2 linked regions of the Daphnia pulex genome follow. The protein of the gene in region 2 interacts with the protein of the main gene of each other region in a pairwise test. Links are inferred from orthologs where the notes say so. Each region holds a gene or a part of one and is shown on either strand. Other genes may lie near its edges. The genes, in order: putative peptidyl-prolyl cis-trans isomerase dodo and transcription elongation factor SPT5-like.

Evidence for each region.
Region 1: the proteins of transcription elongation factor SPT5-like (region 2) and putative peptidyl-prolyl cis-trans isomerase dodo interact in binary tests that used the Homo sapiens proteins (3 or more experiments, as listed by UniProt). The link is inferred for Daphnia pulex from reciprocal best matches to the Homo sapiens genes SUPT5H and PIN1.

What each region holds. Positions count from the first base shown.
Region 1 is NC_060017.1:4,459,730-4,470,715, forward strand, and holds putative peptidyl-prolyl cis-trans isomerase dodo, read right to left. Parts: upstream 4,863-10,986; 5' UTR 4,698-4,862; coding exon 4,646-4,697; intron 4,559-4,645; coding exon 4,464-4,558; intron 4,390-4,463; coding exon 4,060-4,389; 3' UTR 3,965-4,059; downstream 1-3,964. Other genes in the region: glutamine synthetase-like, read left to right, coding at 1,997-2,171, 2,432-2,868, 2,956-3,155, 3,225-3,364, 3,424-3,572; tudor domain-containing protein 7A-like, read right to left, coding at 5,243-5,272, 5,344-5,467, 5,531-5,711, 5,793-5,830, 5,900-6,428, 6,491-6,584, 6,648-6,873, 6,939-7,128 and 4 more; protein obstructor-E-like, read right to left, coding at 10,309-10,395, 10,469-10,596, 10,663-10,726, 10,784-10,986. UniProt on the Homo sapiens protein: Peptidyl-prolyl cis/trans isomerase (PPIase) that binds to and isomerizes specific phosphorylated Ser/Thr-Pro (pSer/Thr-Pro) motifs.
Region 2 is NC_060017.1:4,110,051-4,122,628, forward strand, and holds transcription elongation factor SPT5-like, read left to right. Parts: upstream 1-7,050; 5' UTR 7,051-7,239; coding exon 7,240-7,305; intron 7,306-7,361; coding exon 7,362-7,756; intron 7,757-7,827; coding exon 7,828-7,965; intron 7,966-8,026; coding exon 8,027-8,726; intron 8,727-8,807; coding exon 8,808-9,266; intron 9,267-9,327; coding exon 9,328-9,861; intron 9,862-9,932; coding exon 9,933-10,718; intron 10,719-10,796; coding exon 10,797-11,057; 3' UTR 11,058-11,254; downstream 11,255-12,578. Other genes in the region: uncharacterized protein LOC124194259, read right to left, coding at 477-551, 615-683, 753-844, 997-1,414; sentrin-specific protease 6-like, read right to left, coding at 3,216-3,584, 3,653-3,923, 4,024-4,160, 4,250-4,580, 4,649-4,777, 4,850-4,998, 5,107-5,786, 5,877-6,312 and 2 more; dnaJ homolog subfamily B member 9-like, read right to left, coding at 11,344-11,496, 11,570-11,805, 11,885-12,034, 12,199-12,319. UniProt on the Homo sapiens protein: Component of the DRB sensitivity-inducing factor complex (DSIF complex), which regulates mRNA processing and transcription elongation by RNA polymerase II.

The sequences.
Region 1 (10,986 bases), about 350 kb from region 2:
GATATCAATCCCAACTTGTAAACAACCAACTGACTCGATCAAAGGTGAATTTTTCCCAATAAACCCATTACATCTATATCTTTATAAAGTCCTTGTATTACACGCACTACGTCATACTGTTTGATGGCCGGTTGATTTGGCTGTCAACAACAAACAACGGCGTGAAATTTAAGAGCAAATTTGAAACCCAAAATGTAGACCGTTTGACCGTGAGCATTATTAAAAAACCCATGAAGTTAAACTAAGTTGTAAAACAAAATAAATAAAAATAATATCTCCAAAGCCAAAGGGGAACAGTGTGATCAGTAGGGTATCACGTGCGATGCCGATTGCCATTGGTCCCTAGTCTTTTTTAGAGAGGGAACGTGAAGCAAACTACACACAAAGAATACACGCTGTCGTGTCTACACTGCCCTACGGAAAAAGTCCCTCACGGTTCTTGCTTCATATGTTTGTTATGGATTCGAGTTGGGCTTGACGCCGAGTATAGAATGGCACATTACCTCATAGCGCCAGCTTTCTTGTTTCTTTTTGTGTGTGTATGTGCGCAGAGTGGTGGGGGGGAGGCAGGAGGAGGTTTTTTTGAACGACTCCATCTGCATTTCTTGTGCACGGTGCGTTTTATTCCTTTATGGTGGGGGTACATCCCAGTTTGAGAACCAATAGCCTTTCACTCGGTCATTCTTTTCGGTGTCTCAAACGACAAGGAGGGGCCCCCCTCTCTCTCTCACTCGTCTATAAAATCTGCCGTTCGTTCGACTAGCAGCTCAATCCACTACCTTCTTCTAACGAGAAGAGTCCACACCACCAAGAGGCGGACACCACCACTCGAGACCGCAACTTTAGAACAATTCGGGTACGACTGACTGATTTTTATTTGGGTTTCATCACTTAGCAACTGGTTTGACATTTATGTAATTTTTGTGGACCACTCCTATTTGTTTGGTTGTTGTAAATTTTGATGGGGGTCAAGGTCGAGCGAGGTCATGTAGGCTCCATGGGCGTATTTTATCGACTCCACCCCAAGCGACCTTCGTCCCTTAATTGATTTCTTAGAATATTTTTGGAACCCCACCCTTTTGTCTGGAGTTGATTTTATCAGATTAACAAGGCTTGAAAAATAATAAAATATTTCATGTTGTTTACGAAACTGAAAGTAAGTTGTTGCTGAGGCGCGAACCAGGGAAAAGTGGGTCAAACGGAGATCACGTGATATCACGATCCTTTTTCTATTCCTTGTCGTCAACAAGTGAGATTGGTGGTAATCCCCCCCTTTTTGGCCATCCGAACGAATTTTTTTTTTTTCATTTTTAAATTTTTGCTCGGCCTCATTTTTATCTGCCGAAGAGATTGCGCAATTTCACTAGCCCATACTGGCGTGAAAAAACAAAAAGCGAAAACTCGAAAAATATCTAACGATTGTGGGGGGACGAGCGAGTTCATTGCGTGCGGAAATCCCGAACGTTTTTGGGTTGTTGCCATGATGAGTCTCTCCCGTATGTGTAGGGGTATTCTCTGTGCGCTTGCGCTGTCGTGCAAGGAAAATCCTTGCACGGTGCCCCCCTCCCGTCTCCTTTGTGTGTGCTGAATCCAGTTCCGACTGGTTCACATCGCTTCGTCGATCCAGTTCGGAGCGGTTTTTTTAAATTGATCCAGCCAGCCAGCTAGAAACCTCCAGCAGCTTAATTTCCTTTCTCTCGGTTGCTCTTTGCCTATCTTACATAACCAGCAGCACAACAACACAACAACAACATTTTTGGCATGGAGACAAAGAAAATAAAAGCAACAACGCAATTTATTTTTGTTGGATGACCCGTCGACCACATAGTCCCTTTTAGTCATATGAGTCAGGGACAGATGATTATCTCTACGAAAATATCAAATAATAATTAAATGTTTTATTTTTTAAATTTTAACAGGGAATCGTTGATACGTGTAAGACTTTGATTGGAAATTTTTGGAGAATCTTCACAACCCAGAAACACAAAAGAAAAAAATGGCAGGTCTAATGACTAACGCGTCCGCTACCAACAAAGCCGTGCTGGATCGCTACATGAGACTCCCGCAGCCAGACGACAAAGTCATGGCTACGTATGTCTGGATCGACGGCACGGGCGAATACGTCCGAGCAAAGACGAGAACCATCGATTTCATCCCAAAGACTCCATCGGGTAAATAATTGACACAAAAGAAAAACTTCCTATTATTTGTTTTGTCGCTCTGTCGGAGACGCCCTCTTTTCCATTTATGAGCATTTGGCACGCTCCTTCGCATAACTAATGAATGTTTCGGACTATAATGGCCTTGGTGAATGAGAAAAACAAGGTTCCAAATCCGGTTACGACTAGAAACATTTTTGCATCTTTTAGATTTCTAGCCGCTGGCCAACCATTCTTCAATGTTTTGTTTGTTTCGTTTTTCTTTTGTTTAGAATTGCCAATTTGGAACTATGACGGAAGTTCAACATATCAGGCCGAAGGCAGCAATTCGGATGTTTATCTCTACCCGGTGGCCATCTACCGCGATCCTTTCTGTTTGGGCAACAACAGGCTCGTCCTCTGCGACACCTACAAGTACAACAAGAGACCCACCGAGTCAAACCATCGCAACTCTTGCCTTGAAGCCATGAATTCGGCTGCCGAATACGAGCCATGGTTTGGCATTGAGCAAGAATACACTCTGTTAGATAATGATCTCCACCCTTTCGGCTGGCCCAAGAATGGCTTCCCCGGACCTCAGGGACCGTACTATTGCGGTGTAGGAGCCAACAAAGTTTTCGGACGAGATATTGTCGAAGCTCATTATCGTGCTGCTCTTTACGCCGGGGTCAATATTTCGGGGACCAACGCTGAAGTTATGCCCGCTCAGGTAAAAAAAAATTTGAAATCCTTGAAAAGATAACAGGAGATTACGTCAGGGCAATATCGTAATCTTGTTGTTGTTGTTTTGTTACAGTGGGAATTCCAAGTTGGTCCTTGCGAAGGTATTACAATGGGCGATGATTTGTGGATGGCCCGTTACATTTTGCATCGCGTCGCTGAGGATTTCGGCGTCAATGTTTCCCTGGATCCTAAACCGATGAAAGGTGAATGGAACGGAGCTGGAGCTCATTGCAACTTCTCCACCAAAGCCATGCGAGAAGAGAACGGCATTGCGTAAGTTTTAGAGAAAAACAAAATGAATGATGAATTATTGATTTTCAAACTGGCATTTCCAATTTACAGAGAGATTGAAAAAGCGATTGAAAAATTGTCTCGCTGCCATGTGAAACACATCAAAGCCTACGATCCCCATGAAGGCAAAGACAATGAGCGACGTCTTACCGGCCGTTGTGAAACTTCGTCCATTCACGATTTCTCTGCCGGTATGTCAAATGGAGAGATTGAATTAAATTCAGTTTTTAAATTTTAAATTCTTTTTCAGGTGTGGCTAACCGCGGTTGCAGTATTCGCGTGCCTCGTGGAGTGGCTGAAGAACGCAAAGGTTACTTGGAAGATCGCCGTCCGGCTTCCAACTCTGATCCATATCAAGTGACCGAAGTGGTTGTCCGCACCACTTGTCTCGAACAATAGACTATCCTGATATTTTTTAGGTCCCATTTTTCACATAAAGAAGAGTAAACCATCCATTCCTTCTATGTCCCGAAGGCGCAAAAATAAAACAACAACAACAAAAAAAACTACCACGTTCTATCGATTATCGCCAAATTGTAATCTGACCCCTCTAATTTTAATATTCTCATTCTGTGGTCGTTCCCTTTTTAATCCTATGTGACGTTATCGATTTGTGTAAATAATCTGATCGATTGGCAATTTTGAAATTCATCAGTAAGCAAACATGAAATATGCAGTATGTGTTACCAAACTTAATGTCAGGTAAATACAAAAATTTTTAGATAATCTAAACTCTGAACCCTTGATGTGTTTTCTTAAATTAGTTGAAGAAATTGTAAAAAACAAATTTATACTTGCAATAATAATGTTGTATAAGGGTATGGTATGCAATAGACGAAAACATCCAAAATTTCTAGTAAAAAGAGAATTAAAAGAAAAATGTAATTCAAGCAGTGCGAAGAATAATATGAACTCCTGAATCAGTCCACACAGGTTCACTCATTCCACCAACTTTTAAGCTAAAAGCAGCATCTTCAAACGGTTTCTGCATTGCTCCTCTACCAAAACTACCAAGATCTCCACCTTTCTTGGCTGAACTGCAGTCTGAGTATTTTGAGGCCAATTCAGCAAACGAAGCTTCACCATTAACAATCTGCTCTTGATAAACAACTAGCAAATCCATAGCCTCTTCTTTAGATATGGTGATGTTGTCTTGCCGCCATGATGATGGTCTACGAGAATCCCTGTGTTTGACAAGAAGATGACTGCATTGAACCTGATTAAGAGATACACTTTTAGTTTACAATTTGGTTTGATGACAGTAATAGAGAATTATTTATAAAAACAAACCTTTTCTGGGCCGTTTGATGAAGCACGCTCTGCTGGTTTAGTTGGAGCATCCCATTGACTCTCTTTGGTGTAGATATTCAAGTAGTAACTTGTTCCTGCAATCAATACAAAGTGAATAAATAAAAGCGAAAATCACAATAGTTTCCAGCTACTAATTGCATTAAAGAAGATGACTATATTACCTGACGATCGGCTTACACGTTTCTCCCAACCAGGTGGCAATTCTTCAGACATTTTGATGGTGGTGTTGACTGAGTATAGAGACTTTGCGAAATGTGCACACGACGAATTATATTAAATATAAAATAGCGACAATAGTATGTATGGTTTTCAAACTACGACAAAGTTGTCGGCTTGATTTGACTTTGACAGCAAAGAACAGTCCAGAGAAGGAGATACTGTAGGTAACTAGGTAGCATATCTCTAGGTGGCAGCACTTGCACTTCTTCATTAACATAAATTTCAAATTTGAACTTGATTTTACAATACAATTTGAATTTACAAAAGACGTTTTAGTTTACAGAAAATTTTCATCTTTAATTCATAAATTTTTCATTTTTTACATTCTGTATTATTGTTGCACGGAAAGTAAACAATACAAGTAAATTACAAAATTAGGACAGTATGTTTTGTTCAATGACAGTTTTGATTCAATTTTATAAAAACTGATTTTTCCTGGTTTAAATACTTGTTTATCAGATAAAATAAAGAATTGGAAGGTAATTAATTGCTCAAACTTGAGCACTCAATGAAAATCATAAAAAGAAAAATGTGCTTATTTACTTATTGCTGAATTCTTTTCGCTTTGCCTACAAACATCAAAGAATGATGTTAATACATGCTTTATTAATTATTTGATAACTTAGATGCAATAAATTACCTCAATAGCTGAAGAGGCAACCTTATCTTTCACCGAACACAAGAAGAACAGTAGAGAAACATATTGCAGTGAATAAAGAGTGAGTTCAGATAAGGAATCATCTTTCATCCAAGGTGCCCCAGCCCTATAAGACGAAATCAGATGAATTTCTTTTAAATCATGTAAAATTATGGCTAAAGATATTTACTTCGCGCAATCGGCAAAGATATTTGGATGCGTTTCGGCAGTGACTACTTTGCAGTCGATCTTTGCTTTAAAGGCGGCAATTTGACTATCCAGACTCGGGATGAGCATTAAGATGTCCGGCTTAGGAAGATACAATTCACCACCATCTTCTACTGTATATAGCCTTCGTTCGTCTTTCAAAACTGATGACATTTAAATCCAATATAGAATTATGAAATTTCAAAAAAATACAAAAACAGCGAAATAGTTCAATGGGGATTTACCTATTACATCGACGCATTTTGACTCATTCGCCTCCAAACTGCAAACAATCGAAATAATGGAGTTTGAAATCAAGTTTAAGTATTTAAAAAAAAATAAGCTTCTTTACCTTCTTTCAGATGCTAAGACTGGAAGGGGTTCATTCACCGAGGCAATCACGTTTTCTTCAGGCTGGATATTCGAAGAAATTCTTTCATTGAATACCTCTTCGTCTATTGATGGATTCTCGAAATCAAGATGTTCGTTATTTGAAATCAGGGTCGGTGTCGTAATCGAAATGCTTGTTGTCTGCATCTGGCTTGTAACTGAATTTACTGCCGATGAGGGAAACGCGCAAGTTGGATTTGGTGAAGGCGCTCTACCGGTGTGTTCAGTTGGATTTGGTGAAGGCGCTCTACCGGTGTGTTCAGCTGGAGGCGACGGCGTGGAATATTCATAAACAGAATTTGCGGAGGCAACAGCAATTTGTTCCTCTTCGCAAGGCGAAACAAATCCACTTTCAATCAAATAATCACTGACGTGGATGTCTTTCTCCTTTGTTGTATCAACCAAAGTCAAAGAGTAGACTGTGTCGATTTCATACTCTGGTATCTCTAAGGTCTCTTCAACCATCTTTGCAGCAGCAATAATCTTACACCCTAAGTAATTTATAATAATAAGTATGAGCTGTCTATATGAATACACAGTTTAATGAAATCACCTTTAATGAGATCCAAAAAACATTTCCCTGATTCAAATGACCACTTAGTCTCGTGTTGTAACGGCTGGATGCCAAAAATTCGACCTCGGAAAGCCTGGAATATAACAGGGAAATTTAAATGCAACACAAACGAACCATTTTTTGAAGACAAAATTACCTGCAGAGGCATTTTCAAAAAATGGAGATGGAGATGACGGATCCTGTCCAGCTTCACGAAGTTTTTACTACCATAGTCAACATAAAAAACCTGGAAATATTCTTCATGGCATCCAACGATTCGAGCCCTGTACCAGAGATTGTCAGTGTACATGGCAGCAACTAGCTGGCCAATGTACATCTCAGTCCGGGATATGACATACTCAGGGTTACTGCTGTAAAACAACCTGAATTTCAAATGTAAAAAGTCAAATTTCCAGGCCGCAGTCATATTTTATGATTTTTAAGTTACGTCATGTCATCTGTAAGATCTTCAATGGGCTTTCTGTTCTCGCTCAAGAACCAATAGAATTCGCCTGGAGAATAGACCTCCGCAACAATCAGAAAGAAATAGTCGAAATCGGCTAAATTTCCAGGGAATGCCTGACGTCCCACTGGGATGTCAACTTCATAAACGTGTTTGATCTTGGGTTTACGTACACCTGTGTAAACGAAAAAGAGATAAATGTGAAATCAAACTTGTCAAATAATTATCAAAGTAATAAAATATACCAAACGTATCGGGCAAAACTTCGTCGGCGCGAGGCGGGGCGTGCCAAGGAACGGGTACAAGTTTCGGTGGCACGAGGTGAGCAAGATTTTCTTCAGAATCTCTGCCACCAACTATCACTGTTTGTAAAGGCTTAGTCCCGGGAATGCGCGTGCGAATATCCAACGCGGTCCACTGAGTTTGAACAAGATGTCCATTCGTTGTACGATACATTGTATCTTCCGACTGTGTTGTGGCAGCTACGTTAGTCGGAGATGTGAATTGAACAGGGACTGCAGTAGTCGGTGATTGAAACTTTGGAGTCGCTCTATTCGTAGGAGATTGACCATTTGAATAAGCTGCATTATTTGGAGTGTGCATCTTGGGCACTGCTCCAGTTAGACTCCCTCGATCTGCATGTGGTGACGGAATTGCTGTTTCTAGTTGACTTGGTCGTAGTGTCTCATTTCCTGCAAGACCCACCAAAGTGTTGTCTGAACGCTTCCACAATCTAAACACGTTACTATGTCGTTGGAAGAAGGCAAAAGAAGTCAAGTTCGGCTCAATATTTTGAAGAGACACTTCTTTCTTGAACTTATTCGAATAGAGGGCAAAGACATGAGCAATGTCAATTCCATCAGGATAAGACTGAAAAAGATTTTTAAATTCAGACACCAGTTGAGACTCATATTCAACACTTGAACATGTTCGGGATGATGTTATTTCAGCCATCAATGAATTTGCATTTATATGTACAACCTTAAATAAAAATAGAAAAATTTATTTAGCTTTTTTTTAAAAATTAAGTTAGCAAACTTTGTACTTGTGAAGCCATTGGTTTGCCATTTGTGTTGCCTGCCATGTTAGAATAGGATTGAGTCATTCTTCGTGGAGGTGCCGAAAATTGTGTTGGTTGGAAGCGATTCCTATTGCCCTGCATTGTATGATTGGGATATCGTCTGGCAGGAGGTTGATAGTGATTGTTGTATTGAGTTATTCTGTTATAGTTTTTAAAACTAGCAGTTTGACTATTCTTCTGGCCTTTGACTAATTCTTGAATGTGACCAGTTTTTGAATTAGAAATAGCTGGTAAAGATGGAAAAAATTAATAATTCGAGCAGGTTATGAATGGATTTTAAACTATTACCTTGGAGAAGAACATGTCCACTTGGTAATCTAGTAAATTTCACTACATCAGGAATAGAAGCTAAGAAATCAGCTGGGTTATTGTGTCCAAGTTGCCTTTAAAAGATAAACTGTGTTAACTAGATTTATTCAACAAAGTAGAAGTGTATTTATACTAACTTGTATGGAAATTCTTTCATTTCAACATTGGCATACTCATTCAATAGCTTGTCCAAAGTCAAGCCTCGTGAATGTGGAACTAGTAGGGAATTCACCACTACTTTCACTTCTTCTTTTAAACCCAAGTTCATTTTCTGCCTATACCATATTCAATCATTGAAGTAAAAATACTAAAATAACTCACATAAGACAAATCTCACAATTTCTCATACCAAAAGTTCTCGAAATTAAAACGGAAGTCAGCGAACTAAAACGATGAGAAACGGTACAAAATTTACATCAATATTTTAATGGTCAGAAATTAAAAGAGAAAAACAGTGAATCTAGGCCAAGAGGCCACGTTTTCTAATAGGAAACGAAATTTGCGACGAGATGGTATCGAATGCTGTGTTAAAAGCACATTGCGTTGCGTAGGACCTTTGTTTTTCTTTTGTTTTGCACAATTCAGCAGCGTTGCCTTTGACTTCATTTCCTGTTGCATGGAGGGGAAATTCCAAAAAAGTAATCTCATTTGAGTCATTTCATTTCAGACATTATTCCTTAATTAAATTTTCTACTAGAACCTACGTGGGTTATTATTTGTTTAGTGAGTTTCCTCCTCGATAAAACTCCACTAGCGAGTGGCGAACTGGGCGACACTTTTTTCTCTCAAGCTTTCGAGACGCTTCGAGACAACTTGAAAGTGTTTAGGCTTGGGGGAAATTCTACTATTAATTTGTACCGATTTATTTTTTTTTAAATCAAAATCTTAACTGCTGCTTTCAACGTAAATAATGTTTTTTTACATCATTACGTAACTTGTATGCCGATCCCTTGCTTCGCGCGCGAGTTTCCCGATAGGGTTTTTTTTTGCGGAGTTGGTGTCTTTTTAGCTTTGGGTTCGATGTTTTTGTTCGATTAATCGTTTTGTAGGGATAAAAAAAAGCCTCATAACAATATGAACGGGAAAAAAAATTGCTAACCGAAATGAATCCGCCCAAAAAATTAAAAACCTACGCGCGAGTTTGACTCGAAAGTATGGGGTGACAACTTTCTTTATTGACACGACAGTCGACAGCAATGTTGGGTCTTGTATGTTGACATATTGGTATAGCTGATGTGATATTTCCACCAATCAACAAATTCTCATGAAACATTTTAATGGCATTAAAATAGATTCTTGAATGTGGAGGGGACTCTTATGATGCAGTGTCATTGGCTGAGAAATCGGCTCTTTTTTTGCAACACAAATTCCATCTATTAAAATAGCAACCATGGACGGATATCAACCTGATGTGGAGCTCTCAGATGATCCTTATGATACCAAGAGACTAAACACAGAGAACATTCCTTGTGTACTGACTTTGATGAAGGTTTTGTAGGTTAAAACTTTAAATTTGAAATAAATAGTCTAATACTAAGTTTTCACTTTCAGATTGGAAACCATTTCCTAGTAGTTCCAACACCAAAATGAAAATGCTGCAGCTTTTCTGGTATTAAAATGATTACTGCTGTTAGGAAAATTGACAGTTGTAAGACATCAGCTATGATATTCTTAAAGATGGAACTTTTAGAGAAATAACATTTAAGCGATTATATAAATCTTCCAAGAGTTCACCTTTACTTATCTCTTCGTAACCTAGGTTGACTATATAATTCTTAACTGCTGCTTTCAACGTAAATAATGTTTTTTTACATCATTACGTAACTTGTATTAACTAATGATTCGCATAATATGTAAGATATAAGTGTGTCTTTTAAAATAAACGTTGTAAATACATCGAGAGGAAGTTTAGTAGGTGATAGTATTTTATACGACTCTTTCACATAAATTGTTCTCACCAATTTTCTAAAATCCAGGCAAATTGCAGTTGACATTGGCTGGCCAATCACAGGCTTCGAGAGCTGGGTTATAATAAAGTCCAGCAGGACAATTCTGTCAGGAGAAAAACAAAGCGTTAATTGAGAACGAAAATAATATGCAGATAAGACAATATATTGTAGCTTACATAAAGATACGAATTGTCTTCAAGGCAAACGTAATACTGAGAGCAAGAATAAGGACTGGGGAAGTATCCATTCGGTTCGGGACATTCAAATGGACCAGGTGCCGTTGGTACGGCTACTGTCGTTGTCGCTATGAAAAGAATCGAACGCAACTTTAAAGCACCACAAATTTGTGTAAATTTTGTCAATTACTCACTAGCACAAGGAGTTGCAACACACGATGATACGGTGGCGTCAAAAATCCCTCCATTTGGACAAGTCTACCATTTTAAATAGAGAAATGATTTCTTCAAAAATAGGAATATTAAATGTCGCACCTGTAAGTCTGCGACGCCATCGGTGCATATGTAATATCGCGAATCACAGGCTCCTTCTTTGACAGGGAATTTTCCGTTTGGAGAAGGACAAGTAAAGGGTGCTAGACGGTCTCCACAATCCACCTGTTCTTTAAAATTGCATCCGTAATATTCGAGATCAAACAACAGGTCGTCTCGACACTGATACAAGTGAGTGGGAGTGC
Region 2 (12,578 bases):
TATCTGGCTTATTAACAATTCACAGAAATCAATTAACTTTACATCACGGAATAATAAATGAATAATCTTCTTCGAGGTGTGACCTATATATTTGTTCATCACCCTTGGAATTTTAACTCAGTTTTTATTTACTAAGCGTTGCGTAATTTGGAGTGTCAATAAAAAATGCGACGCGAGGTTTAATTTGAGAATTCTATTTGACATTTATTCATTCTCTTTTCAAGAAAGGATGATATGAAATAATTTGATGATTTCTCTGCGCACAGAACTTTCTGAATTATAACACAATGGTGTCCATATCCAGTCCCGTTTCGTGGAATTTCCAGCGTCTTATAAGGCGCCTTCACACTAGCACTGTAATTCTTATAGACGTATGGTCGGGAATTACCATAGAAACGTGGAACTAATCAGAACAACGAATGGCAGCGGCTTGTTATAATGAGACCATATAAGAATTCGGCTATAGGATGGACACTTTAGCGAGGGACACCTCGCTGTCGGTTTTCGTCGCTGTTAAGCCGTTGGCTTACGCTCAAAAGATGAGTTTCAACCTTTTAAAAAACGAAAAGACAAATTTAATTATCTGTGCAAAGCGATCAATCCAAGTAACTTACCACACGATAAAAGAGGCAGGAGACCGGAAGTTCGTCCTCGCCATTCGGGCAGTGACGCACACCGTCACACTACAATCGCGAAAGTGCACATGAGTATTATTCATTCGAAGAAAACTATAATGAATCAAAGCGTCCTACTAGTTGGAAGTCGTCGATGCAACGCCAATTGCCATTTCGGTCTGGCGTGGGACAATAAAATTCGGGTTGGCCGTCCTTCGCCGTTGGGCATTCTATACAAACAATGCGGATAATAAATCAACGACAGATCATTCATAAAACTTAAAACTGTCTGAGTAGATACCAGATAATCTGTGCATATACCATCAACTCGGTTCGGTCGACATTACAAAAGAAATTACGAAAGACATGATATAAGACTTACGGCCCGATCTGGCGAGGTACCGATACTGATAGAGCGGATCGAGATGAATAGGGAAGCGTTTGGTTCGACGTAATCCGCTACTGGTGGTGCCACGAATTTTCATTCGTGTTCTCTTGACTTGTTTCTTTTCTGTCGGCAGATCGTTATCGTTGCCGCAACACGACGGCGACTCTTGGTGCTGCTGTGGCATCAGCATCAGCACCGGATCCGGCGTTTTCGAACTGCTGCTAATCGATGGGCTAATGAACGGCTCCAGCATTTCCGAATCTGAAACAGGTATCGATGAGTCGAGTTTGACATTCAAAGAAGAAGAAGCAATACTGCTGCTGCTGCTGCTGCTACTCTGACAACACAATTCCATAGGCAGGCTCAGGGCGGAAGGCAGAATAGCCACTAGTACGAAAACTTTCCAATCCATCGCTCCTGATGCTGTGAGATGATGGTTTCCGCCTTTGGTTTGATAAGTGATGTTGCTGCTGATGCGACAACTCAAATGATTTTGACACCTTTTGAAAAAATACGGAGCTATAAAACTGTTGCAATCCCGGTGCGAGCAGCCAGAGAGTGATTCCTTGTCTTTCTATGGCTGTCTCTTTTATAGGATTATAGATGCTGCTGGAGAGGAAGCAGCAAGACATAAAGAAAGGCTCTCCTCTCGTCCATATCCCGATCCTACGCGCAGTCTCCATAATCCATGCAGATTAGACTCTGTCAGCTTCATCACACCATCGCTCATAATATACTGTAAAGAAACTGAAAAGCCTCCCAAGTATCCAACAGCTGCATGAAAGGAGGTGAAAGCCAAAATTGTGCCAACTGGTTTTGCAAGGTGCACATTATCATTTGGGACCCTCAATGTCGGCAATTCAATTGCGGCATGGAAGCCTTTAAGAATTCATTTCCCTTGAAACGGTTTTTTAATTATTACATCGAATTGTTATTTGGATATTAATCATTGCGTTTAATTTTACCTACTAATCAATCTGTTAAGTCAACCTATTTCATGTATACATTTGTAAAAGTGTAGAGTTTCAATATGAACGTATAACAACTAAATAGGTGGATTCTGCGTGATATTTTTTCTTGGCAAAACCGTGTATTCAACCAATACGCGTTTGGACTGCTTCCATGATTACAGTATATCACTTTATATTTGGAAAATAATGGTCACATATGCATCTGAATAACACCAGTTGAAGGAAAGGCATCTTTAGGAAGAAAAGAATATTTCGCTAGAATCGCCAACACAACATAATGGAAAAGAACATTGATGGAATACAGCACGGTCCCTCTGCTCAGGACTTCCCCCTGGCTTCCATCGGCAGTTCGACTGGCTGCTCATGAATGAGATACGTCCATTATTCATGCTGTTAGCATATTATCCATCTATCCATTAGCTAGAAGAACCACTTTCCTCCCCCCACCCGTACAAGTACAATAAATGTAAGCTACACATTGAATTAATGATTTGACAGTAGCTTTTTCGAGACTAAATTAGATTTAGATCTTACGCGTGAATCGATGTCAACTTCAATCGCCGCCTTTTCAATTGAAACGGGATGATTTGGTTGCGCATCCCACTCCAGAGTTGATTTACAGACAAAAAAAAACCCAGTGACAATTAAGCCACTTTCGTTAGCCGCCGACATGTCATCGACATTCGTACAAGCAGATCGTCTTATTCGAGCCTTTCCTTTCATGTTCTCAACAAAGGCCTTCCGGTTGTACCTACATCCAATTAGACATCAATGAGCTCACGTGCCTGTGACATACCAAGGAAAAGGTGGAATATATATGCCATCTTATAGGCCCAGTTCTATTACCAACGTGTGCAGTTTTCATAAAGCGATTATCGATCTTTTCATTCGGAATATAACGGTGACGGCTGAAAGATCACATGCGGAATGGAATGGATACCAAGGGAAAACAAACAAAAGATTTCCGTAGAATAGCCAAGAGTATCAATACCGATTCTGAAAACTACCGAGCCTAACATTCTCTTCGCTACCTTTTATGTCCGGTGGCAATTAATTTCATGGCTGATGAACGATAGCTAGAGCACGACTTTGATATTCTGATTCTGACGATGTGTTTGACGTCACGTTTTTGAACAAACTTTGAAACCTTTCACGTTGGTAACCAGTTTTTTCTCGCAGTCGAAACATTTTTTTTTTAGTTTAGGAGAACGACAAACCGATAACAAAAAAGAAAAAAAAAATCTATTTCTCCATTTCATTATTCGCCTCTTGGTCATACACGATATTTGATGGGCTGGCTCCCTTTTCAACCTTTTCTTTATCGAGACACACCTCAGATTTGCCGTCTTCCTCCATCGCCTCCGTCTTATTTTCACTATGAATTTCACCATTTTCTTTATTTGTAGCGGCCGCAGTCTTATTACGGTCTTGAAGTGCAATTCTGACGTCATCTCGAGGTAACAATGTCAGAACTTGGTCTGCTGAAGGATTCGTTTCCTTGGTGAGCCGTATCAATAAGAACTGGATGTTTTTTCTTTTCCTTCCGGCAATATGAGGTGGAAACCAATTGCTTAGTTTTATATTCCGTAAATTATAATCCAGAAATGGACTCTGAATTGATGAAATAAAAACATTAATTCAGCAAAATAAAAAAATTAAATAAAAAATTTTTAACTTACCATCATAAAGTATTCTGCGTATTGAAGCACAAATATCCCGCAATCGTACGAGTTATTTTGTTGAGGCACATCAAGGCATGCCGATATCATCGAGTCTTTAGTAAAGGGGTTGGTTGACGGTTTAACGGCGTCCCTTCTGAAAGCAACAATTGATTTCTCATTTGGCTTCATTTTCTTTACTTGGTGTTCCACCATTAAATACTCGCGAAGAGTCGTAGCAACTCGATTGTGTGCGCTTCCCGCCAATGAATCAAAAAATAAGATGCAAGGCCTAGAATACAAGAATAAAACATAAGAATGTCGCATGAAAAACACTACACTAAAGGCAAACTGTAAAGCATTATTAAAAGACAAAAATGAATTTGAATTACTGTTTGATAGGACCAGCAATCTCTGGCAATTTTTCTACTGGAGTGCGGTCGATTGCACATGATAATTCTTCTTCGTCGCTCTCAGCTTCGTCTCTTTCTGTGTCAACATTCAACGTAATCTGGTCATCTTTGGTCGACTAAAGAACGGATAAGAACAAGCAAACAGAACAAATTGGTTCGTTTATCATGTCGACTCGTTTAAACTAATAAAGGCAGACATCAATACCTTTGAATTTGAGTTAACAGGCGTAACTGTGGTATTTCCTATGTGAAACGATTCACCGTTCACGGCCACAAATGACCTCTGTAAGTCGGCGGTTGTTTTCTTGGAGTATGTTTGTTGGGGGCGAAGTTTGATGGGTTGATTGTCTATGGCGGTCACCGGTCCTGATAACCAAGGAAAACAGACAATGGCTAGAAACCAATGGTTACGCTCGTTGATGGGTATCACGAGATAATCCTTTTCAAAAATGTCCACTTTCTTTGTCCACGATTTAACTCTCGAATGACGTTTCTCCTTTATCGAAAGGGAATCGTCATCTTCAATTGGATGTTTCCTGCGTAAATTCATCTCTAGAGTAATTACACTTCAAAATGGTTGTTGTAATAGATTAAGAGCTTGTACCGTCCATTGACTTTGGGTGGGCGAGTCGTTAACCTTTGGTAGAAAAACGATGAAAATACGTGGCATTTCTTCTTCAGACTTTCATCAATTTTAGTACTGAAAACGTATCGAAGATAAAAGTCGATGATACTGCAAAAGAAAAACAAAGCAAATAGTTAAAGGTAATTACAGAAAAAGACAACGGTGCAATGCCAAATTTACCTGTCATTTAGTAGATTGTCCTGATTTAAACAAGCATAATCTTCAGTGGTTACTGAGAAGCGGTCGGGTCCATCCGACCAGGAAAACATTGGAGTCACTGGCAAAACAGTTCTTGCGAGAGATTTACTGGATCCCCTGGTTATTCGTATCTAGAAGAGAATGAAGACTGATTTTAGGCACAAATTCGGCTTTCAACTATACGAAGTACACACTTAACCAATAGCGTAGTTATTGGTATTAGCATTACGACTACTTACTTCAACTTTGCTAGTGTCGTCTTTGCCACCATTCAGTTGCGTTTCAGTTGTCGAAACACTCGTTTCTGCTGATACAGCAGTGGTCGCGGGGAGACGTTTAAGCGCATCACGAACTTCTGGGGGTGAGGAAATAACCAAGAGCCGGTTGGCCTCGGCCTGATTAATTTCGTTGTAAACACCTTGAGGAACGAAGACTTGTTTGATTGCGTTCTTCGCTGCATCGTCCAACCCATCGGGCAGCAGTGTCAATCGTTTTTTATTTTCGTCTTCGCTAGCAGAATCCCAATATGGGCCACTTTTGGGTAACCCTAATTTTGTTGAAAGCTGGCGACACCAGCTTGGACCAACATTTAGGAAGATGACTTGAAGCTTTCGGCTGAAAAAAGCGTCCACTTTTAATAGTTGCTGACTTGGGATAGCTACATTGACGCAAACAGCATTTTTTTCTGATGGCCCATCGTGGTTGTGAAAAACTGGAGCTTGCAGCATAATTCCTTCGGATGAGAATAACACACGTCCCACTGGAGTAATCTTATATGATCCAATACGAACAGATCGGCAGTTTACGGCAAAGAAAGGTCCATTCAATCCACCTTCTTTCCAACGGAGCAAATCACTAGATCCAATTTCCTCTTCTGCATCAATAGGCAAATCCATTGAGACACCATTTAAAGGTTCACCTAGAAGAAAAACAAAGAATTTAAAAGAAACAAAAAGTAAGATAAATTAATAAGAAAAACCAGCAGAGGAAATAAATGTGTTTAACTAACATTCTTTAATATTTGGCTGTTCTTGAATCACAATTGAAGGTTTAACATCCAATTTTTCAGTTGATTTGTCGGTACCATCACATTTGAGTTTTTTGGTTTCCTGAAAGGAGTCATCATCTTCATCGCTACTCAGTGTTACACACTGTGGCTCCTCAAATTTGGCTCTACTCTGTCTTGAAGGTTGAGCATTTTGAGTCCGAGTGCGTCGGTAGCCATATGATGAATCATTTGACATCTGAGAGATTCCGGATGATTTGTTTCCAGGTAATGACTTAAGATTTGAAGTGAGAGGTACCGTTTTTTCTTTTTCAAAGACGCGCATGCACCTCATACATTTATTAGTGGAAACCAAATGTCCACAGTGGGGGCAATTAGCACTATCTGGATCTGGTGATTGCCCACTGCATTTCTCTTCTGAATTTGTCTCTTGTTTACCCTGTACAAAAACACAGTTTACTTGTAATAGAAAATGTAAAAAAAGAAACAAAAACTTACTGTGATCCCAAGTTTCTGAGTGGATTTTTGATTGATCACTTTGTGACCAACCTGTTTTCTGTATTCTTGAAGTGTTATCTTCTTGATGCCCTTACTATTTGAGTTATGTTTCAGTAGTTTCGGTTGAATGTTTTCAGAAACTAAAACAGCCTTAATCTCCGGTACCGAAACTGACCGCTGGTTTGAATTGACACTAAGTTCGGACTTGGAACTCGATTCCCCCATACTAATTATAAAATCTCAACCATCTGGACTGAATATCAACAGTTCTACGTCAGTATGATTTCATCCTGATTTACCTGTCACATGTGCTATCCGAAAAGTACATTTACCTATGAAGGCTATGATATATGACTTCGTTAGATCTGTGCAGTACCAGCAGTATTGACTGTCGTCTCATGTGCTCTCCCGTTTCAACTAAACTAAACCAGGTAGGCCAAGTAACGACAAAATACTTAGTGGCAAGTGGCGCTATGGTACCCCAAACAATATATTTGAATTGAATAATTATTTCAGAAATGAATGATATAAAACTACATAAGATAATTAATTTCCTTAAATTTATTGAATTTTAAAATGGATAACTTTGAAAAGCCATAGGCCTATTTTACATTTAATGAAAACATTTGCGAAATACTTTCGAATCAAAGGATAGATGGCGTGTAAAGACTCCCAAACTTGTTTATCCATGCATTGCAAAATTTCCTCTGGTGAGTGACGCAGATGAATTCAATTTAGGAACAACATAGTTGGAAAGAAAGAACAATTTACCTGTTTTCTATCTCATTGAAACGTTGTAGCATTGTTTGGTTTAAGGTGCAATCGTTGTTTTTCTTCTTCAAAAAAGTATTCAGCAAGCAATTAAAACATGTCGGACAGCGAAGATAGTAATTTTTCCGATAGGAAGGAAGCCCTCAGTGATGCTGAAAGTTCGGTATGGTTTACACATTTCCATTTTACTTGACGAAATCTAACCTTTAAATTTTGAAGGATAATGACTCTGGTGGCCGTAGTCACAAAGCAGTAAACAAGAAATCTCTGAAAAAAGACAAATCCAAAAAGAAAAAGAAAAGGGATAAAGGTGCAAAAAAAAGTAAACGCCATAGAGGCAGTGATTCAGAAGAAGAAGAAGATGACGAAGAAGTTGAAGAGGAAGAAGAAGATGAAGATGAAGAAGAAGTTAATGGAGGAAGAAGAAAGCGAAAGAAGAGTGATAGATTTGGTGGTTTTATTCTGGAGGAAGCAGAAGTCGATGATGAGGTTGAAGATGAAGAAGAATGGGAAGATGGAGCTGAGAACTATGGTCTGGTAGGAAACGAAGTTGACGAAATGGGGCCCACAGCGAGAGAAATTGATGGGAGACGCAGACAACAGCAAATGTGGGAGTAAGTTGTAGATAAACACAAGCTTTAACACATTTTATCCAAAGTATTAACAATACATTTTCTCTCTACAGTAGTTCAAAAGAAGAGGAAGTAGAGGAATATTTTCGAAAGAAATATGCAGATGAAGCTACTGTTACTAGACACTTTGGAGATGGTGGTGAAGATATGACTGATGAAATTACCCAGCAAACTTTGCTACCTGGAGTCAAGTACTGTATTTAATATTTTTTTTTTTTTAAGGAAAGAGTTAACTTACAATTCTTATTTCAGAGATCCAAATCTGTGGATGGTCAAGTGCAGATTGGGAGAAGAGAAGCAAACAGTATTTCAACTGATGAGAAAATTCATTGCTTACCAATTCACAGAAGAACCATTGCAAATCAAATCAATTGTGTCTCCTGAAGGCGTCAAGGGATATATCTATGTTGAAGCTTTCAAACAAACCCACGTTAAGCAGGCGATTGACGGTATCGGTAGCCTTCGCATGGGTCTCTATGCCCAGCAGATGGTCCCAATCAAGGAAATGACCGATGTTCTACGAGTTGTAAAAGAACAGAGTGTAATGAAGCCCAAATCATGGGTTCGTCTGAAGCGAGGCATATTCAAGGATGATATTGCCCAAGTTGATTATGTGGATGTAGCTCAAAATCAGGTTCATCTAAAATTGATCCCACGAATTGACTATAGCAGGCCACGTGGAGCTCTACGAACTGCTCAATCTGATGCAGAAGCAAAGAAAAAACGCAAAATTCGTCCACCGTTAAAACTGTTTGATCTGGAAGCTATCAGAGCAGTCGGCGGAGAAGTTACAAGTGATGGCGATTTCCTTATTTTTGAGGGGAACCGATACTCCCGTAAAGGTTTTCTTTACAAAAATTTTTCTATGACCGCGATCCTTGCCGATGGTGTTAAACCTACATTGATTGAACTCGAGCGTTTTGAAGAGGCTGTAGAAGGGGTTGACATGGCCGTAAGTGTTATTCCAATTGTTTTTTATTTTTAATATTTAGGTCCTTTTCTGTCGTTAACTCATAATATAATTCTTATCTAGGTTCGAATTGTATCGGGTAAAGAAGAAGCAACCCATAATTTTGCTACAGGAGACGCTGTCGAAGTTTGTGAAGGTGAACTTATTCATCTCCGTGGAAAAATTGTGGCCATTGATGGCAATAAAATCACGGTCATGCCGAGACACGAAGATCTCAAGGACCCCTTGGAGTTTCAGGCTCACGAGTTGAAAAAGTATTTCTCGATGGGTGACCATGTTCGCGTCATTGCCGGCCGCTACGAAAACGATACAGGACTCATTGTTCGTGTTGAGGACAACATGGTTGTACTCTTTTCAGATCTTACAATGCATGAACTTAAAGTTTTGCCCAGAGACCTACAGTTGTGCTCTGACATGGCAACAGGAGTCGACTCCATGGGCCAGTACCAGTGGGGTGATCTGGTTCAACTTGACGCCCAGTCTGTTGGTGTTATCGTTCGATTGGAGCGGGAAAATTTCCAAGTATGTCTTGAACGATTCTCACACTTTCAGAGATCTAACTCTTGTTTTTTTATTTCATTAGGTTCTAAATATGCACGGAAAAGTTGTAGCAGTCCGACCGCAAGCTCTACAACGTCGTAAAGAGAATCGCCAAGCCGTAGCGTTGGATTCCGAGCAAAACACCATACAACGAAAGGATATTGTTAAAGTGATCGATGGACCTCATTCTGGTCGTCAAGGAGAAATCCGTCATCTTTATCGCAACTTCGCGTTCCTTCACTCCCGAATGATGCTTGAGAATGGTGGCATATTCGTTTGTAAAACTCGCCATCTTGTATTGGCCGGCGGTAGTAAAGGTGCTGCTTCAGGTTCACCAGCAGTATCGAGTTTGGGCTACATGTCACCCAGAATTTCTTCACCCATGCACCCGAGCGGAGGAGGAGGCGGGGGAGGGGGAGGAGGTGGAAGAGGCGGTGGACGTGGAGGAGGAGGTGGTCGTGGAGGTGGGGGTGGTGGATTTGGACGAGGTGGAAGAATTGGGCGAGATCGAGATTTGATTGGAAAGACCATTAAAGTTACACAAGGTCCATACAAAGGTCACATCGGAATTGTCAAGGTAAATTTTTGAAAACGTGTTTTTTCCCCTCTAGGAAAAGAATAAAGCATCTTCTTTTTTCATCCTTTCAGGACGCAACAGATTCAACAGCCCGCGTCGAATTACATTCTAAATGTCAAACAGTATCCGTTGACCGAACTCGAATTGCCGTTGTTGGAGGACCCTCCAAATCTGGCGCTGTTTCTACGTACAGCCAAACTCCTGCTTCACAGGCTGAAGGCCGTGATACACCCATGTATGCTTCTGGATCTCGTACTCCGATGTATGGATCACAAACTCCACTGTACGATGGTTCACGTACTCCTCACTATGGTGGTATGACACCTTCTCATGATGGATCCCGTACACCTGGACAATCCGGAGCTTGGGATCCAACCGTTACCAATACACCTGCTCGATCGACCGACTATGGAGATTTGGACAATTGGGATGATCAGTCTCCTTCGCCAGCCTATAACCCGGCGACTCCTGGGTCAGCCTACCATGTTGACACTCCACAAGGACCCTACACCCCTCACACACCAGGAACATCCTACGGTTCAGATCACACTTATTCACCCTACCAGCCCAGTCCGAGTCCGGCACCTTATCAAGCCTCACCGAGTCCATCCGGTTATGCTCCGACTCCTAGCCCAAGTACTGGGTTGCCATTCCATCCATCACCTGGAATGGCTTCAAGTTATACATCGCCATCTCCCATGAGTTATAGCCCTATGACTCCGGGTGTAGCTCCGTCACCTCTCAATCCTCAGACACCAGGGGCCGGAATGGATTCGTTGTCTTCTCAGGACTGGTATACCACCGACATAGAAGTACGTTTCAAGGATTCGCATAGTGATGCGGGACTCTCGGGACAGGTAATATTATTGATACTTCATATTAATTCATTTTCTTTTTCACTTAATAAATTAATATTTTTTAATGTGTAATTTTAGAGTGGTATCATCCGTGGCATATCTGGTGGTATGTGCTCTCTTTTCTTACCGGCCGAGGATCGAGTTGTAACAGTTGCTGGGGAGTTGTTAGAGCCCATCGTGCCAAGTCGGCGAGATCGAGTCAAAATCATTTTGGGAGAAGAAAGAGAAAGCTGTGGCCAGTTGCTTTCTATCGACCACCAAGAAGGCGTTGTTAAACTAGAATCTGGCGACGTTCGAATGTTCCAGCTGCGGTACCTTTGCAAGATGACGGCACGATAAAATGACCAGTTGCGTATTTGCGGGCCCCGACTTTACTTGGAACAAACAAACAAAATTCTTCACTTTCATTTGGGCTAGAAATTCACTGTAGCTTTGATGAGTTATATTGACGAGGGAACTTCAGAATGAAATGCCAATCGTTTTCATGTAACTGCTTGAAATAGTACGGATGAATACATGAAGTTTTCGAATACGGATAATAAGCAGTTTCCCATACATTCACATTGATTTTTAAACTCGAAAATTAAAAAAAACGGATAACAACGTAATTTATTTATAACAAAATTTATGAGCATTGCGTATAGGTAGTAACAACATTTCCGATCTTTTGAGTAACTGTTTTACATCCTGTCCCCTGATGTAAATCATCTGTGAAACCAAACATGGAATCCATATTATCAAATTGCATATCCATTCCACCAAACATATCATCATCATCCTATATAAATTTTAAAAAAGAAACATTTGGTAAGTTAGAATAAAAATATTTTGCTTAGTTTAATAAAACTTGCATTAAAAATGTTGCCAAAATTGAACATTGAGTCTGCTTTCTTTTGATGCTTTTTGTTGGTTGGAGAATGAAACTTGTGATGGAAGTCTCCAAAATGCTGATCAAACTGCATCATAAAATCATCGAAATTGAAGTTGTAAGCAAACTTTGAATGTTGATTCCCATTGTTTCTTGTGCCCTCTGCACCAAAATCATCATATTGTTTCCTTTTCTTGGGGTTGGAGAGTATTTCATAAGCTGTAAAATACATAGCAACAACAGAAATGAAATCTTAGTTTGTTAATTTTGAGGCCAAAAAATGCAAAACAAATGTTACCTTCAGCAATATCTCTAAACTTTTCTTCAAATGCTGGATTTTTGTCAGGGTGATATTTCAGGGCAAGTTTGCGAAAAGCTTTCTTGATTTCCCTTTCTGTTGCCTTGCTATCAACTCCTAGAATATCGTAGTAATTGCTGCCACCGATAGCTTCGATTGAATGTTTGGAAATATGTACAAGAAGAATAACAAACGAAGTTATGCAAATGAGTTTTCTCATGATCACTCAACAAAAGGAACAAGAAAACAAGGAACTCAACAAGGAAAAATGGAGATATCACTGCGAAAATGATAACGTGGATTATTTTGCGTACCTCGAAAGTTCTTATAGTCGAAATTGACTACGTATTTTTTAAATGTTTTTTTATTTATGAGTTGGAATGTGTTCATTCGTCTAGAAGATTGAAGATGCTCCTCCCCTTTATTGCGCAACATCACCTTATCCTTGGGCACATTAGCCGATTAACTATTACACTTCTCTAGGTTAGGTATATTATAAAATTTTGAATAGCTGAATTTCAGGAATAATTATTTAACAACACGATTAAAATAACTTAGATATTTTGTTATTAATTTTGTATTAAACGCAAGGGTGCGTTTTGGAAATGCATGTGTTGATGAACGGGCGATAGATGTCTCCCTCAAGCTTCTTTTCCGACGCATCAAGACAAGGAATTCTCAATCTGCGACGACT